2 linked regions of the Astyanax mexicanus genome follow. The protein of the gene in region 1 purifies or fractionates together with the protein of each later gene. This does not show direct contact. Links are inferred from orthologs where the notes say so. Each region holds a gene or a part of one and is shown in the gene's direction. Other genes may lie near its edges.

Region 1 (7,419 bases):
AAAACAGCTCACCAAAACCTCAAACTATTCTTTATATTTGACAATATTTACTTACAGGTCCTTTGCTTGTACTTACAGGCCCTTACTTATTTTTATTCAACTGAACTGAGTTTTATATTATCTGTAGCCTCGCTCTGAATTCAGCTCCGCGCTGCGAAAGAGAGCGAGAGAGCGGCGCAGCGCATTTTGTCCGATTTATCTTGATTAATTATCAGTACATTTATTAGCTTTAGTAAGTTTAATAGCATTAATTTTACTACACTTCTCCGACCTTATTTATTAAAACGTTTATTTTAGAAGACAGAGGTTATTCTGCGCGCAATGACGCGCGCAATGCCATGCGCTGCGCTAAGCTGGCTTTGCATGGCTAATATTCTGAAGCACTGGACGAGATTTTAATTAATAAATTAATATATTTATAATTTTAATAAATTTGCCCTGGCGAAAAGGAACGAATTATAAAATATAGCTTTATATATTTCTGTGCATGTTTTAAGTTTTATATAATTGACGGGCAGCACCAGACGCTGACAATGTGCTTTATTTTTCAGATATAATAGCAAAGTGAAATAAAATAAATTTATGTTTGTCAAAGTTATTTTCTCTTTTAATTTATCTTTTCAAAAACTCCAGCTATTGACTGAGAATAAGCATCTGTTGAAATTATTAAACAGCAGAATGCCTGTGTCTGCTACATTAAGCTATAAGTCTGTGTACCGAACATAAATATAAATCCTTATAACTGACAGAAATAAATATGACTAATAATAATTTATAGTTACTGTGCAGATTTTTGGGAAAACAGGTCGTGACGTTAAGAAATCGGCCCGCAAAATAGCTCACACTGTGAGACAAGCGACCAAAATTTCTGGCATGTCAGAAATCCCTGGTCGCGTCCGACTGCTCATTCGCAGCTCGTATGGGCAATTAATCGGACATCGCTTCCCCTCACACACTGCACGACAAACGACGCACGATCAAGCTAAAATTCGGCCCGATCATGAAATTCAGTCGCATTCGACCAGATCGGGCTTAAAATCAGGCTAAAATCGCAGTGTCCGCCTGGCTTAAAACAGCACACAGGAGTATTTGACACTGCACCTTCTATATATCTATGTGCATCTGTGCATGTTACAGCTGCCAAACAAAAAAATGGCCTTTCTCTGTTGTCAACTGTTCCAAAACATTCCTAAATAAATCAAATTACATCAGCAGACGACACACAGGGATGTTCTTGGAGAACACACCCTCTGCGGACCCAAACAGATTGAGTTTTCTTAGAAGTGCTTAAGTACAGTTTCAAAGAATCTCAAAACACACGTCTATTTTTTTTTTTTCAGCATCTAATGAACACAGTTCTCTTTTAGATTTAGAAAGAGGGTCTAACAAGATACTGTGAAGCATCAGCATGGACATAAAAAAAGCTACTGCCAGGCTAAAGGGCAGAACTATACAGAGCACAAGAGGTGCACTGATGGAGCTTTTTGCTACCAAAACAACATGTGAGCCAACTGTCACATGTAAGAACCTTTGTTGCTCTGGTAGTCTAGAAACAACACAGCATAACATGGATTTAAGTATGCGGCCATTCTCCTTAGAAGAGATTTGGCTCTGAAATTAGACAAAACTCAGGTGCGAAAGACATAGACTTACGAGTTTGACAAAATTCCTAAAAGTGGTACTCTAATCTGAATTGATTTCATTGGTTTGGAGATAATCTTTGCATGTAAAACATAGCCAGTGACCCTTAATACAGTATTGTGCATGCGAGGTGGCAGGATGTACTGTCCAAATATTCTTCCATTTCCTTCTCTGGGCTTTGCAAGATCATGGGAAAAAAAAACAAAAAACTGAGATCACATTTCTTGTTATGACAGCGTGGACAATTTCTTCTCAAACACATCTACTACAATTTTTTTAAATTATTTGTAGTATTAGTTAGAGAGCTTAATTCAGAATTTTTTATTGTGTTTTTTTTATGGAGGCCAACTGCCCTGCACATTTTGGTCCTTTACCTGCCTTAATACACCCACATTACTCAATAACGGGCGTGTTAATCAGCTGTGACAAATTGAATAAGGTGTGTTACTAGCAGGGAAACACTATAAACTGCAGAGCAGTGTGCCCCCAGGACCGGGTTTCAGAAATGTGTGTGTTGGTGAAGAAAGGGAACTGAAGAAACCTCGTCTAGAGATTTCAAAAGTAAAAGAAACACAGAAGCTTCGTTTGAAATTTGTCCATGACGCACAAACACAGCAATATTTAATCAATCCAGCGGCTGCTAAACTGTTCATAATCCCGCTCCTCGTTACTGTTAGAGGAGTGAACTCTGCTCCTCGAGGATTAGCCTGTGTTTATGAGCTAGTTAAGGAGGGTGTAGCCGGGCGCTTAGCTTAGCGGCTAACAGCCGAAAACAGAGCCGGGGTGTTCAGCCCGCTGCTGCTGCTGGAGCTCCTGTCGGCCTGAGGCCTTTATTACAGTCGAAACCCAAACAGTCCAGCCGGAGTCATTAAAGGGAAATGTGTCATTTGATCCGGGTAACCCAATCGCTCAGGTAACCGGTAGACTGAGCGGAACAGACACACAGACCGGGCCCTGAACTGCTCCTCCTGTCAGCTGGCCGACCGGGGGAGCTAGTTAGCAGCCTGCTAGCTAACCTAACTAGCCTTGCTAACTAACTAACTCCGAGTTAAAGCCCGCGGAGCGTCCCAGTGTTTACCGCTGCTCAACAGCCCCTGACACCCCCGCCCGACCTCCACCAGTTAACCCCAAGCTCCTTACCCTCCGAGGGAAGCCGGCAGAAGGGGCGCAGCAGCTCGGGGAAGCTCAGGCTGTTCCTGCGGGTCACTCTCTCCGCCTCCTCGCTGCACAGGACGGCCACCATCGGCACGAACGAGTCCTGGATGAACTCCTGCACAGACTGGGCGCACTGGGCCATGGCGCCGGTCCAGCGGGCAGTCCGAGCGAGAACCGGGGGAGCAGACGAGCCGGGCGCGGGAGTGTCACCGAGAACAGAGGAGCCGCTACAGAGTTAAAAACAAGTCCCTCTACTGACAGCCCGCAGCAGCCATGATGGACTCTACAGTCCCCCCTGCTGACCGATTTAACTCCCGTCGAGCACCACGCCTGTCAGGTGATACCAGACAGGCAGCCTAAACACGTCCCTTCAAAATAAAAGTCTTAATGCGGTCTGTAGAGGAGGGTGAAAAGAGGTAAAACAGAAGAAAGCAAGGGTAATAAAAATAGATTAAATAACTGCGAAACCAGTTGTGAAATATTAATCCATATATTGTGGCGTAAAAGCTACCAAAACGCAGCAATTTAAGGCTTATTATTAATAAAAACACGTTTTTGCACACACGAAAGCTGAAACAGAAAGAACACTAGAGGACGCCCTTGAGCAAGTAATTGTTCAACAGGTTAAAGCATTTTGTAATAATGTACAACTTATAATATAATATATTATATTACTACTAAAATATGCACAGTTTAATCAGGTAAAATGTTACGATTTTTACTAATGGTAACTAATCTGGTTAATGAAAGATAGCAACATTTATATATAAACATAATTTTTACGTCATTAATGTATTAAAATAATGTTGATCTCTGACGTCAGATTTGATATATTTGTGCATATTGATTTTACGTTTATTTCAACATTGTTTCAACTGTCTGGTTTTAAATGTATTATTTGTATTAAAGTTTAGTAACAGTCTACAAAAATGTGAGAAAAGCTATATAATGTTATATATATTGTTTGTATTGTATTCTTTTATCCGGTACTGTAGTCTAGCTATGTAAAAACACATTAAAATAATAATTACTAACATTATTTTTTTTTATTTGTGGTAAGCACATTTTACATAAAAGCATTGTGGATGTAGAAGAGCTCAGCCAACCACTCAAAAACTTTAATTATTTAAAGTTAACATTTTATAAAATAATTGAATTACTAACTGATGCCTATGAGGCGATGTGAAACAAAAACTTGTTTTAAGATTGTTTTTCCATCCTTAATCTTAAAAGATGTAATGCAACCAGAAAATCAACCTTCTTTGCTCTGCTCTCAAAATAAAGGATCTCATGCAATAATCATTAGGTATGAAATATTTCTTCATACCTTTTATAAAGAGAGATTTTTTTTTTTTATGAACATCTTATAACAGTCCGTAAACGAAATGAACAATTAAATAGTTTGTAGCTTTGAAATAAATTGAATTCAAATTAATAATATATAAGTAATGAAAAAATTAAAATTAAAACAAGGGGTTAGCATACATTATATGAATTCAAATATGTTTTATACGTTGGGCATTATTTATGGTTATTTTTCGTTGCTTGTGTGGCAAATTGCTTTTCGTCGTTCTGCTTGTCTCGTTGGGCTTTCCGTAGTTATGTTTTTAGCGGCGGGTAGTAGAGAAGCCGGGCTGCTCAGCCCGCACACTGCGTGTTATTTATTTATTTCACTGGATTAATAATAAGTGTTCAGCTTTTTCTGATAAAATCAGCGCGTGTGGGGATTATAGAGCTCAAGTCCAAGTCACCCTGATTACAGTTAATGATCTTTATTGAGCGTTCGAGTGAGTAATCGTAACATTTACAACGTTAGTTAGGTAGCTAGGTCTTAAGTGCTGTTTACAGCGGTACTGAGCTAGGCTAGCTAACATGCTAGTTAGTTGGACAGGTGTTTATTTAACTAACTGTTTACTGAGACTTTCTTTACACAGTTCAGTTAACCTGGCTGACCAGCTCGCGAGAGGTGTAGCTAGTTAACTATATTGCTTTACATCAGTAGACATTTCTAGTTGTTTTAACTAGCTTCTTTGTCACAGACTAGCTAGCTCGTTGATTGGCTGTCACTTGGAGAGAGCTCGTTTTTACCTCCAAAAAATGTAACACTGTAGACAGCTTCTCTTACCTCATATTCTATTGCCTCGGTTTCCAGTCACTTACTAATGAATTGCTAACGTATAGTAAATACTATAAAACATTGGATACATTTGACAGATAGGTCTAGCATTCTCCAGTAGCTAAATCATAACAAAGATATATTTTCCACAACAGTTTAATGATTCTGTTTGGTCAAGCTTAGATAAACTAATGGTTCATCAAAAACTCAGTATTGCCCTTTATTACAAAGTGTATTTGGTCACATGTTTGGTGCTTGAACATTGCTTCTTGTTTTTGTACTCATGCTACAAAGCCAGTATAGATTTCCACTTCGTTTTAGCCACATGTAGCACATTCTTGTAGCTCCAGTGCAAAACTAGACAATCTCTGAAGAAATTATTTTGCTCAAACCTGGAGAAATTGCATACACTGGTTATTTATTTATGTTTGTTTGACGATTCATTCAGTAAATGATGTCCCTTTAATCTAAGCATTGTTTTTTTTCCATCCTCAGGTTTGGAAACGAAAGGGCTTCACAATGCCTGCTTTCCGACAAGTGGGGGAGAAGCAGCTGCCAAACCCAGTTCTGTACATGGCCTGGTCTCCTAAAAGGGACCTCATCGCTTTGGTCAACACAGCTGGTGAGGTGAGGAAAAAGTTTCTGTACTCTCCACAGTGAGGGTCAATAGTTTCTCCACAAAATAGAACTACATTACCTTTAAAAACAACTCGTGTATCAGCGATTAAACTTAAGTTTAAAATGGATTTGACCTCTGGTGAAACATGTCAACAAGTATGAACCTTTGTGGAATAACCCACCTCTGTTCCCCCTCTGAAATACAGAGCTTGTAGCCAATGCTCCAACAGGCTTACAGAGTTCTCAGTGCCTCATTTAAATGTAAAGCTTCTCAGATTTCTTCCAATAAAGTGTGGAGCTATTTTGAATTTGTTAATGGTGTAAAAATATCTTTGCATGGGCAACACTATCCTCCTATCACTAGCATTGTAAGCCTGTTGGGACCATCAAGTAGAAGCGTTGTATTTTGGAATGTTGGGGGTAAATAGAGGTTTGTTAATTGACACAAGTTCTTACTCATTTTTGGAGTGCATTGTAGTGTATGTTTTACTGCACACCAAGTCCATTTAACGTTGGATTTCACATTTAATTACAAGACACATAGGAAAAAAATCTATAACAAAACTACACTTTTTAAATTAAAATAATTAATTAAAATGACAGAACAGACTCATAGAATTAAGTTACAATTGCAATAGATACTTAACATATTATTAATTATAAATGTTATTAATGTTAATACCTTATTTATTGCTAAAAATTAAAGGGGAATTTTACGCTAAATGTTTTGTGGAAAAGACACAAGTCAACTATTTATATGTATATGAACTAAGTGTGTTTTGCTATGTAATATTTAACACCAGAGAAATATAGATTTCTCACAGTAGTGATTACAGGAACCAGCCATCCAACGAACTAAATTTTCCTAAAAGCTTACTCACAATAAGGTGTTAAAATGGTCATTAAAGAGCTTGTTTTTTCTGCATTTGACCTATGCTGCATTTAGATATATGTTTTACCAAATATTTTTGTACATTACACAGTACAGTATAAAACTCTGTAGTGCTTGTCAGATACTGTACAACACCATTTTAAATCAAACCACTATGAAGTTTTTTTCAACTATTGAACCATGGCAACCATTTATAAAATGGGAAAGAATAATCATTTCAAATATGTCGGTGAAAAAGGCTGGAGAACATGAACAAAGCCTCTAGGAAACATTTTTGGATTTTCTTTAGTTTAGTACACAGACATATATTGCTGAGCGTTTAATAAATACTGTCTGTATCTGAGCTCCAGTTTGTTAACGTTTGGGGTTTAAAATTAATTTCAGCTCCTGCTGCATCGCCTTGCCAACTTTCAGCGTGTGTGGAATTTACCCCCAAGTGAAAATACAGGAAAAGAGATCACATCTTTGGCCTGGAGGCCTGATGGCAAAAGTAAGCCAAAGCTTTCTATGATATTTGAGAATGCTTACTGCCAGAGAATTGACTTAACCCCAAAATAATGAACCTGTATGTTATTGTTGGCAGTCTTGGCATTTAGTCTGGGGGACACAAAGCAGGTGGTCCTGTGTGATGCTGAGAAGGCAGAGATCCTCCACCTGTTTACTGTAGACTACCCCGTGTCTTGCATGCACTGGATGGAAGTGCAGAGTGACAGCAGGTATTATTTTTTTAAATGACACAAAAGAAAGATTGGGATTGTTTTTATAAGTTTGTTTAATCGTTTTCTCTCTTTATTTAAAGTGTATCATCATCGTTCACTGACTCTGAAGACGAGTCCAACCGATTCCTGCCCAAGCTACCAATTTTACCCAAAAGGTTAGTTCAGCAAAGGTGTAATTCATTGCTGATATGTGTTAAAGATTGTGTACTAGAATAGAATGGACACAGGAAACTGACTGCTACAAATGTAAATAAATAAATAAAGGGTGTTCAAGATCA
Region 2 (7,934 bases), on another chromosome or scaffold:
CTCCCGGAACTCGTGATCAAGTCTCTTCAGCTGGTCTGTGAGGTGTTTTTCCAGGGCAGACTGGAATCTCTTCATCAGTGGCTGCAAGAAAATATGAGATAATTAATAAATGAAATCAATTATCATATTATGTATACAAGAAAATGACACACAAGGTCGCATGTCATGTCATATATTATATATTTACATACATTGTACAATGTACATATGGCATCAAAAATGGCATATATTAACGTCTAATTTATATATATATATATATATATATATATATATATATATATATATATAATTTTATTTCTCATTTTCTCCCCAATTACCCAACCCACTCATTAGGACTTCCCCTATCACTAGTAATGCACCAAACAAACCTAGGGTCAAGCCAGCCACCACTTCTTTTCAAGCTGCTGCAGCATTGCCGAGCAGCCAGCACGCTCGGAGGAAAGCGCAGCAGCTCGGCTCCAATACATCAGCTCACAGATGCCTTGTGCTGCAGACATCACCGTAGGAGTGATGTGGGGAGAGAGCGCCATATACCCACCCAGAGGAAGCAGGGCCAATTTTGCTCCCGGCAGCTTGATAGCAAAGCTGCATGAACTGGGGTTCGAACCTGCGACCTCCCGCTCATAGTGGCAGCGCTTTAGACCGCTGGACCACTCGGCGCCCTGACATCTATTTTATTAATGTTATTAATATTTTCTTAAAATCAGACAGGCTTTCTGATATATGCACGGCAATAGGTGTTAGGTGATTTGCAGCAAAGTCAATCACGTCTGTGTTGGTGGAATTTGCGTTCAGTGGCTGTGTTCTGAGGGCCGTCATGAAGGAACTGTCAGAAGTAGCTGAGAGATCTAGTCAGTGGTTGTGGATGAGAAGGAGTGAGGTGAGTTGGGGAAGGCAATAGTGTGTTTTAGAGTGTAGACATAGGCTGTTTGGTACGTGTAATGTTCAAATAGTGGTATCAAGGTTGTGGGCAAAATCTTGTAATTTCCTATGTAGTGAGCTTGGAGGGGAAGTTGAGCCTTCTGGAGGTCTTGTGAGCTTAATTCAGCCAAATACTAATGAAGGGAGGTGCCTAACTGTGAACCCCTGTAAAGAGCTTGTGGTGTCGTGTATAATTAGTCCATTTGTGATAGTTTGAGTTATTGAGATCGAGATATTGTTCGAGATATTGCTGATCGAATCAAAAATGGTCAGAGCAACCTAGCTGTTAGGTGTTGGGTGCTGATGTTCTAAGTGTAAATATGTGAACAAAAAATAAATAAGTTAAATAAGTTATTTGTCAGCACATATCAGACACAATACTGTCTGATTTAAGCACAATATATAACATGGTTTTAACCTGTATGTTGGTGCCTTAACTACAAATAGTAGTGAAAAACAAAGAATTAAAGTTACCCACATGCTCAGGGTCCAATACGATAAGATCTTTATCGTCATCTTCTTCTTCTTCATCCTCACTCTGCATCATCATGCTTCTCTCGTCTCTCTCGCCACTTATGAGAGCCGTCTGGATTGGTAGAGTCATCATTATTGATTCCATTTGCATACAAGGTGAAAAGTACACTCAGAATGTACTGCAGACTGTTCATCAAATCTTAAGATAAATTAAATATCACAATGAGTTAAAGCTGAAGTCGCCCCAGAAAAAAAACAATAACTGAAATAAAAAACATTTAATTTGATCTCTTCATTTAAAAAATGATAACATGGATTCTGTTAACAATCTCTAGCATTATAAACTGTTTTTTTTTTTTCGATTGTTAGATAAATGCATCATAACAGGATATAAGCCTGAAAGAAAAAAATATTTGGCTTCATTACTGTGGAATTGGCCAATGTGAGGTGCAGAGATGACGGTGGAGGATCAGGCAGGGTACTGCTGTCCTGCGCTGGAAAGCACATCACACACACACACACACACACACACACACACACACACACACACACATACACAAACACCCTTCACGTTACTGTAAAGGAACAAGCCTCAAATCAACATGCTGATTAGTGAACATAGGCTTCTAGGCTATGTTAGTTATATAACACTCGTTCACACCAGTGTAAAATCTCAGCAGATAAACTATATTTTTGCTAAATTGGTGTTACTGTGACTTCTAAACAAACTATTGCTTTTGAAAGAGCTTTTACTAAATTTTGAGGAGTATGCTTTGGTCAATTACAGAAATTTCAGTTTCTTTTTTTTATCTTAACCCAAAAGAGCCCATGATGATGATGTATGTCACAGACCCTTTAAAAGAGATGGAAAATTTGTTACAGAACTCTGTCCTTCATAAAGTCACATACACTGAACAGCCTGAGAGCATCACAGGACAGTGTATGAATGTGTGTTTAGTGTGTTTGAGTCCTCTCAGTTAGTCCTTTAGATAAATGTGGCTCCTTTAAAGCTGTACTTTTTGCTTTTACTGGTCTGTTCCAACCAGTTTAACAATTCCAATGCCCTAAATAAATGTTTTACTCTCCATTTAACTAGTTCTGATACAATTGCTAGAGCACACTGTTAAAATACAAGTTATAAACGTATTTTAAGAGATATATTAAAAAATATAATTAGTCATATGTTACTCACTGAATTTATGTGAATTGGCTTTTATAGGTTAAAGTTTCTAATCAAAAAGTGTTCCATGCATCCATACAGTGGAAAATACATTTTCCTCCTGATGTTTGCCTGTGCTGTTCTTGACGTAGGCAGACTTATACAGACCTGAGTGAGTGTGTGTGAGGGGAGATGTCTCTGAACCGCTGGCTTCAGTGTGAGTTTGTGAAACTGGGCCTGAACCCTGCACAGAAAGCAACAACACATCAGAGCATTTAAACAACCAAACCACCATGTGCAGGCTACTGCTCCTATAATCTTACTGTAGACAATTCTAGTAAGGCTCTTATGGTCATGATTATTACCATCCTCTGCGATGTCCATTGTGGGTAATAATGACTTCTATAAAGTATTCTTGGTACACTCTGTATAGGTAATCTTACTCCCAAGATAACATCTTACACACTCCATATTCAGATTTGGGTTTTCACAACCCATCCATAGAAATAAGTACTTGAAATAGTAGCTCTTCCACGGCTGTAGACATGCCAGCAAACTCAAAAATAGAAATACTACACAGCATCAAAATTAAAATTTCTTGCGTATAAGTGTGCACACAGAAGTCTTCAGTTCAAAACAATTTAAAACAAAAACACAAGTCATGTAATAGTAGTGTATTGTTAAATGTTTAAATCCTTATTGCTAGTATAAAATAAATGTCTGCCTATTCGGGAGGATAGGAATGAAAACCTTGCTGTGACCATAAGCAATTTCTGACCTCTGCAGCCCCCTCTGCTTCCACTGGAAGACCCTCCGTCTCCCTCTCCTGCTTTCCTCCATCTTCCCCACCATTCTCCATCCTAAGAACAGATAAGAAAAAATGGCCTGTGTGGAGTTACAAAAAAAAAAACTGTCCAGAACAGGTAAATGAAAATGATCATTATAACAAACTAGAGATGTGTGAAACAAACTAGAGATGTGTGAAAAAGGACACATAAAATTTTACAATTTATTTTACAAATTAGCAATTGGTTTTAGTGGTACATTTAAACATGTAGACCTCCAGTCAAACAATTGTGATGTTTTGTAAGTTATATGTTATCTTCCCTGTTGGACCAGAACCTTCCATTTTCTCCAGCTTTATTTCTGCTTGTAGATGATTCTGCTATTAATACAAACATCCAGGAAAAAGGGTGTTAATGGCTGCTAGTAAAGCAGCCAACAAAAAAAACTTAAAATCTTAAAAGACATATACCTGAATGAATCACTGCCAGGCTGCATCGTGATGTAAGGGCAGCCACTATTCGACAGTGGTCCAACCCTATTGACTTTATTAAAAATGCCTTTATTCAATTACGAAGGTGTGTGCACTGCAAATGGTATTCAATTAAATTATTTATTTATTATCATTTATATATCTTGTGGCTAATTTATCACGCCTAGCAGAATAAAATGTGAGGCTATTTTAATAGCTTTCCAAGATTGTGGCTGCCTTCACTGAACTAATTTATACAATTCATAGCTGGTAAGTTATCTTACATACACACATACTTAGTACAATAGTCTAAAGTTTACTTCTTATTAATAAAGACTATAGGCTGAAAATATTGCAAGCCTTATTTATCACTGAGTTTTAATGAGGTTGTTAGTCTGCATTTTAGTCAGCAAAAAAAATTAATTTATAAAGCTAAATAAAAAGGCTCCGTTTTCTGTCTTTTTAATAAATAATTTTAAATTAGGATTGTTTCTGGTTGGTTCTACTGCTTGAATGTATGATAAACTATCTTCATAACCATTACTAATTTTTAATAGCCATAACAACTGTCACATGTTATTTTGTTTCCTGAAAATCTTAAAAAATGAGTTAGGGAGAATTTTAGGAAAGTGTCTCTGTGCAAAGATGTACAGTCTCGCTTATCCCATTTTGAAAATGCCATTAAAAACAACAGTGTAGTTAATCGAATAAATTCGAGTAACCTCCCACCAATATAACAAACTGCAAATCAAATAAGAAAATGGACAAGTTAAGTAGTTATAAAATAAACAGGACAGATAAAACTAAAGAGAGAAGAGAAGAGAAGAGAAGAGAAGAGAAGAGAAGAGAAGAGAAGAGAAGAGAAGAGAAGAGAAGAGAAGAGAAGAGAACCAAGTGGTTCTTTTTCTTACCTAAACTGAAACTCTTGTGGCCAGTAAACACTAAGATAAACTGAACCAGACTGCCTTCAAATGATTAATATGAATAATCATGGACATTTCCAGTTAAAATCGTTTTAATAAATATCTTAGCTTGGATAGATTAAGCTGGGTCTGCCTTCTTCCACCGCCTGCACTGTTTGACCCGTTGCTAGGAGACCGCACACTTCCGGTGTCGCCAAACTCGAGCTGCAGTGTCGTGCTTAAAATTAAGAGTCTGTTTAAAACAGTTCATACATCCAGTTTATTCTGTGGAGTTATGAAGTGACACCCACTGCTTGTTATATTTCACTGTCGTACAGATATGGGCTGGGCTGCACCAATTTTGCGTAAGTTTCTTCTTATGTTTGTGTGCAAAGTCTCTAACGTTACTAGTTATTAGTTTCAAACTATCATTTTACTGAATCTGGGTGCACCACTAATCTGTGTGGCATGTCCTAACTAGTAACAACTAACTCATGCGCAGAGTTACTGATTGACGCTTTTACATGACGAAAACAAATATATAACATGTTGGTAATCAACGTGTTGCCATGGAAACGCGGTTTAACAGCATGTGTTAGTGGATAATGTAGCTATAATGTTATGGGTAATATATTATAAGCGGTATTATTTCATACTTATATAGTGCATCTCAAAAGATTAGAATATCATTGAAAAGTTACTTTATTTCAGTAATTCTGTTCAAAATGCGAAACTCGTATATCATATAACGTTAGATGAATTATACGCAGTGATCTATTTTAAGTGTTTATTTCTTTTATTGTTGATGATTATGCCTAAAAGCCAATGAAACCCAATAATCAGTGTCTCAAACAATAGGTGCTTTTTGCAGTGTGGACAGTGTGCCAAATCCTGCTGAAATATAAAACCCGCATCTCTATAAAAGTTATCAGTAGAGAGAAACATAAGGAAAATACTGCACTGACTTTGGACTTGATATAAAACAGTGGACCAACTCCAGCAGATGTCATGGCTCTCCAAACCATCAATGATTGTGGAAACTTCACACTAGACCTCAAGCAATTTGGACTATGTTCCTCTCCATTCTTCCTCCAGACCCTGGATCCTAGATTTCCAAATGAGATGCAAAATTTACTGATGGTCAGTGATGGTTTGGAGAGCCTTCATCTGCCGGTGTTATATCAAATCCAAAGTCTACATATGTGCTACACTGGTGTAGTTACAAACATATGCCTGCTCAGATTTGTGTAAATACTTAGTATTTATACGTTCCTACGTATATACTAGTTGGTGTAGGACAACACGATTTGATTTAGTTTAGCCTTTTTTTACAGCTAGCCTATGTTTAACTTACAGCTGGTGCAGCCAGCCCCTGTGATTGGCTTAGTGCTTAAGCAGTGTTTTAAGTGTATTGGGATCTATCATTTAATTGGATAATTAACTAATTCATAATAAAAAAATTCTGCAATTCACTTTTCAAAAGTCATTCAGCTCATTGGCTGCAGTGCACCTGTAGTTGGTCTGCCAACCGCCATAATATTAGCCATAACTCCGAAAGAGCTCCCGGGCAGTAGGGGGCGAGATGGAGCTGTTAGTGTTGAACAGGAGCTTCATGGCGGCGCTGTAAATAAAATGGAAAGCGGGAGGGAAGCGGAGCTTTATCTGTATGGCTGGGTATTTTCTTTTCTTACTGTTACTTTTCTTAAAATATTAACCGTAGTTTTATGTTCTCACCACAGCATTTTTAGAATGTTTGGTCCCACTTTAAATGGTGCTGCTTCGTTAGTTAGCAAGCTAGCTACAGTATGTGTGTAGTTATAACCTGACCCCAGCTGCTGCATTTAGACATCGACAGGTTTCTGATTTGTATGTTTTGTCACTCACGTTTGATTGCAATATTCCTGAAATGTAAGTTGTTGTGTAGGTTAAACCATTTTGGTTAGCAAGTTAAGGTTTGTTCACCAGGTTTCAGGCTCCAGTGGTGATAAAACGCCTACTGAACCTACCATATATCGATTTGCTGGACAATGGGAGGTTTTTCAGATGGTGCCACAATACACTCAGGAAATGTTATGAGTTTATTTTAGTGCATAACAAACTCTTAACACTGCGTTCTGCAACCCGTGTAACATAACTCTATATAATATGTATTATATAACTAGCTAGCTTAGTTATCTAAACGGCGTCCATGCAGGTAGCTAAGTTACTTTCACACAGCTTTCACCTCTTCAGCTAGCTTTTTGTATTGACTGGACATATCCCCACAATTTCAGAAGTGAGAAATGAAGGTGAAGATAAAGCAGTGGAACGGCGTGGCATCCTGGCTGTGGGTGGCCAATGACGAGAACTGTGGCATCTGTAGAGCCCCGTTTAATGGCTGCTGTCCAGACTGTAAGTAATCTTTTTACACAACTCTAAATGTAGACACTTCAAGGTATTGAAATCCATTTCCGCCATTCGAGGGAAAAAATAAGGGTCCTCCACCAAGTCATAATTATAAGATGGTAAGGCATAATAATTATGATATACTTAGTCTGCGGTTATTATTTCATAATAATGACTTGGTATCTTATAATTATGCCTTACTATTTCAATAAAAATGCTTTGTATCTAAATTATTACTTAACATCTCATCATTATGACGAAATATATTGTAATTATGACTTAGTATCTCGTATTAATGACTTAGTATCTCCTCTCAACAATTATGGCTTAGTATCTTGTATTAATGACTTGGCATCTTATCTTAATAATTATGACATATCATCTCATAATAATGACTTAGTATTTCATCTCAATAATAATGACTTGCCATCTCAGAATTATGACTTAGTATCTCCTTATAATAATAATAATAATGGCTTAGCATCTCATAATAATTCATTAACAGCTCGTAATAATGACCTAGTATTTCATCTCAAAAATAATGACTTAGTATCTCATCATTATGACTCAGCTTTTTGTAATAATGACTTAGTATTTCTTGTAATTATAACTTAGTGGAGGACTGTTGCATAGTGGCGGAAATGGGCTTCCATATAAAGGAGAAATGTCTGTATAAAAGGTAGGAAATTATGGTATTGGTAAATGGTACAATTGTGCCAAATATTAACAAATTTAGTTTTCTATTGTATATTTGTGCATTGGTAAAACTAAGGCAAACTGTGTTTCTGGTTTCTAAGCAATGTATTGATCTGGGATGAATGGAGTGTTTCCCACACAT

Evidence for each region. The genes of interacting proteins can lie anywhere in the genome.
Region 2: the proteins of anapc4 (region 1) and anapc11 purify together in Homo sapiens (affinity purification with mass spectrometry; 8 studies listed by BioGRID and IntAct, with this or other methods). This does not show direct contact. The link is inferred for Astyanax mexicanus from reciprocal best matches to the Homo sapiens genes ANAPC4 and ANAPC11.

The regions. Positions count from the first base shown.
Region 1 is NC_064408.1:65,443,044-65,450,462, reverse strand, and holds the start of anapc4 (anaphase-promoting complex subunit 4), read left to right. Parts: upstream 1-4,405; 5' UTR 4,406-4,583; intron 4,584-5,407; 5' UTR 5,408-5,431; coding exon 5,432-5,539; intron 5,540-6,806; coding exon 6,807-6,912; intron 6,913-7,005; coding exon 7,006-7,138; intron 7,139-7,221; coding exon 7,222-7,296; intron 7,297-7,419. Other genes in the region: trappc8 (trafficking protein particle complex subunit 8), read right to left, coding at 2,782-2,938. UniProt on the Homo sapiens protein: Component of the anaphase promoting complex/cyclosome (APC/C), a cell cycle-regulated E3 ubiquitin ligase that controls progression through mitosis and the G1 phase of the cell cycle.
Region 2 is NC_064412.1:28,029,808-28,037,741, forward strand, and holds the start of anapc11 (anaphase-promoting complex subunit 11), read left to right. Parts: upstream 1-4,926; 5' UTR 4,927-5,076; intron 5,077-6,266; exon of another isoform or gene 6,267-6,385; intron 6,386-6,984; 5' UTR 6,985-6,993; coding exon 6,994-7,102; intron 7,103-7,934. Other genes in the region: ccdc40 (coiled-coil domain-containing protein 40), read right to left, coding at 1-81, 1,400-1,507, 1,822-1,889, 2,723-2,798, 3,333-3,413. UniProt on the Homo sapiens protein: Together with the cullin protein ANAPC2, constitutes the catalytic component of the anaphase promoting complex/cyclosome (APC/C), a cell cycle-regulated E3 ubiquitin ligase that controls progression through mitosis and the G1 phase of the cell cycle.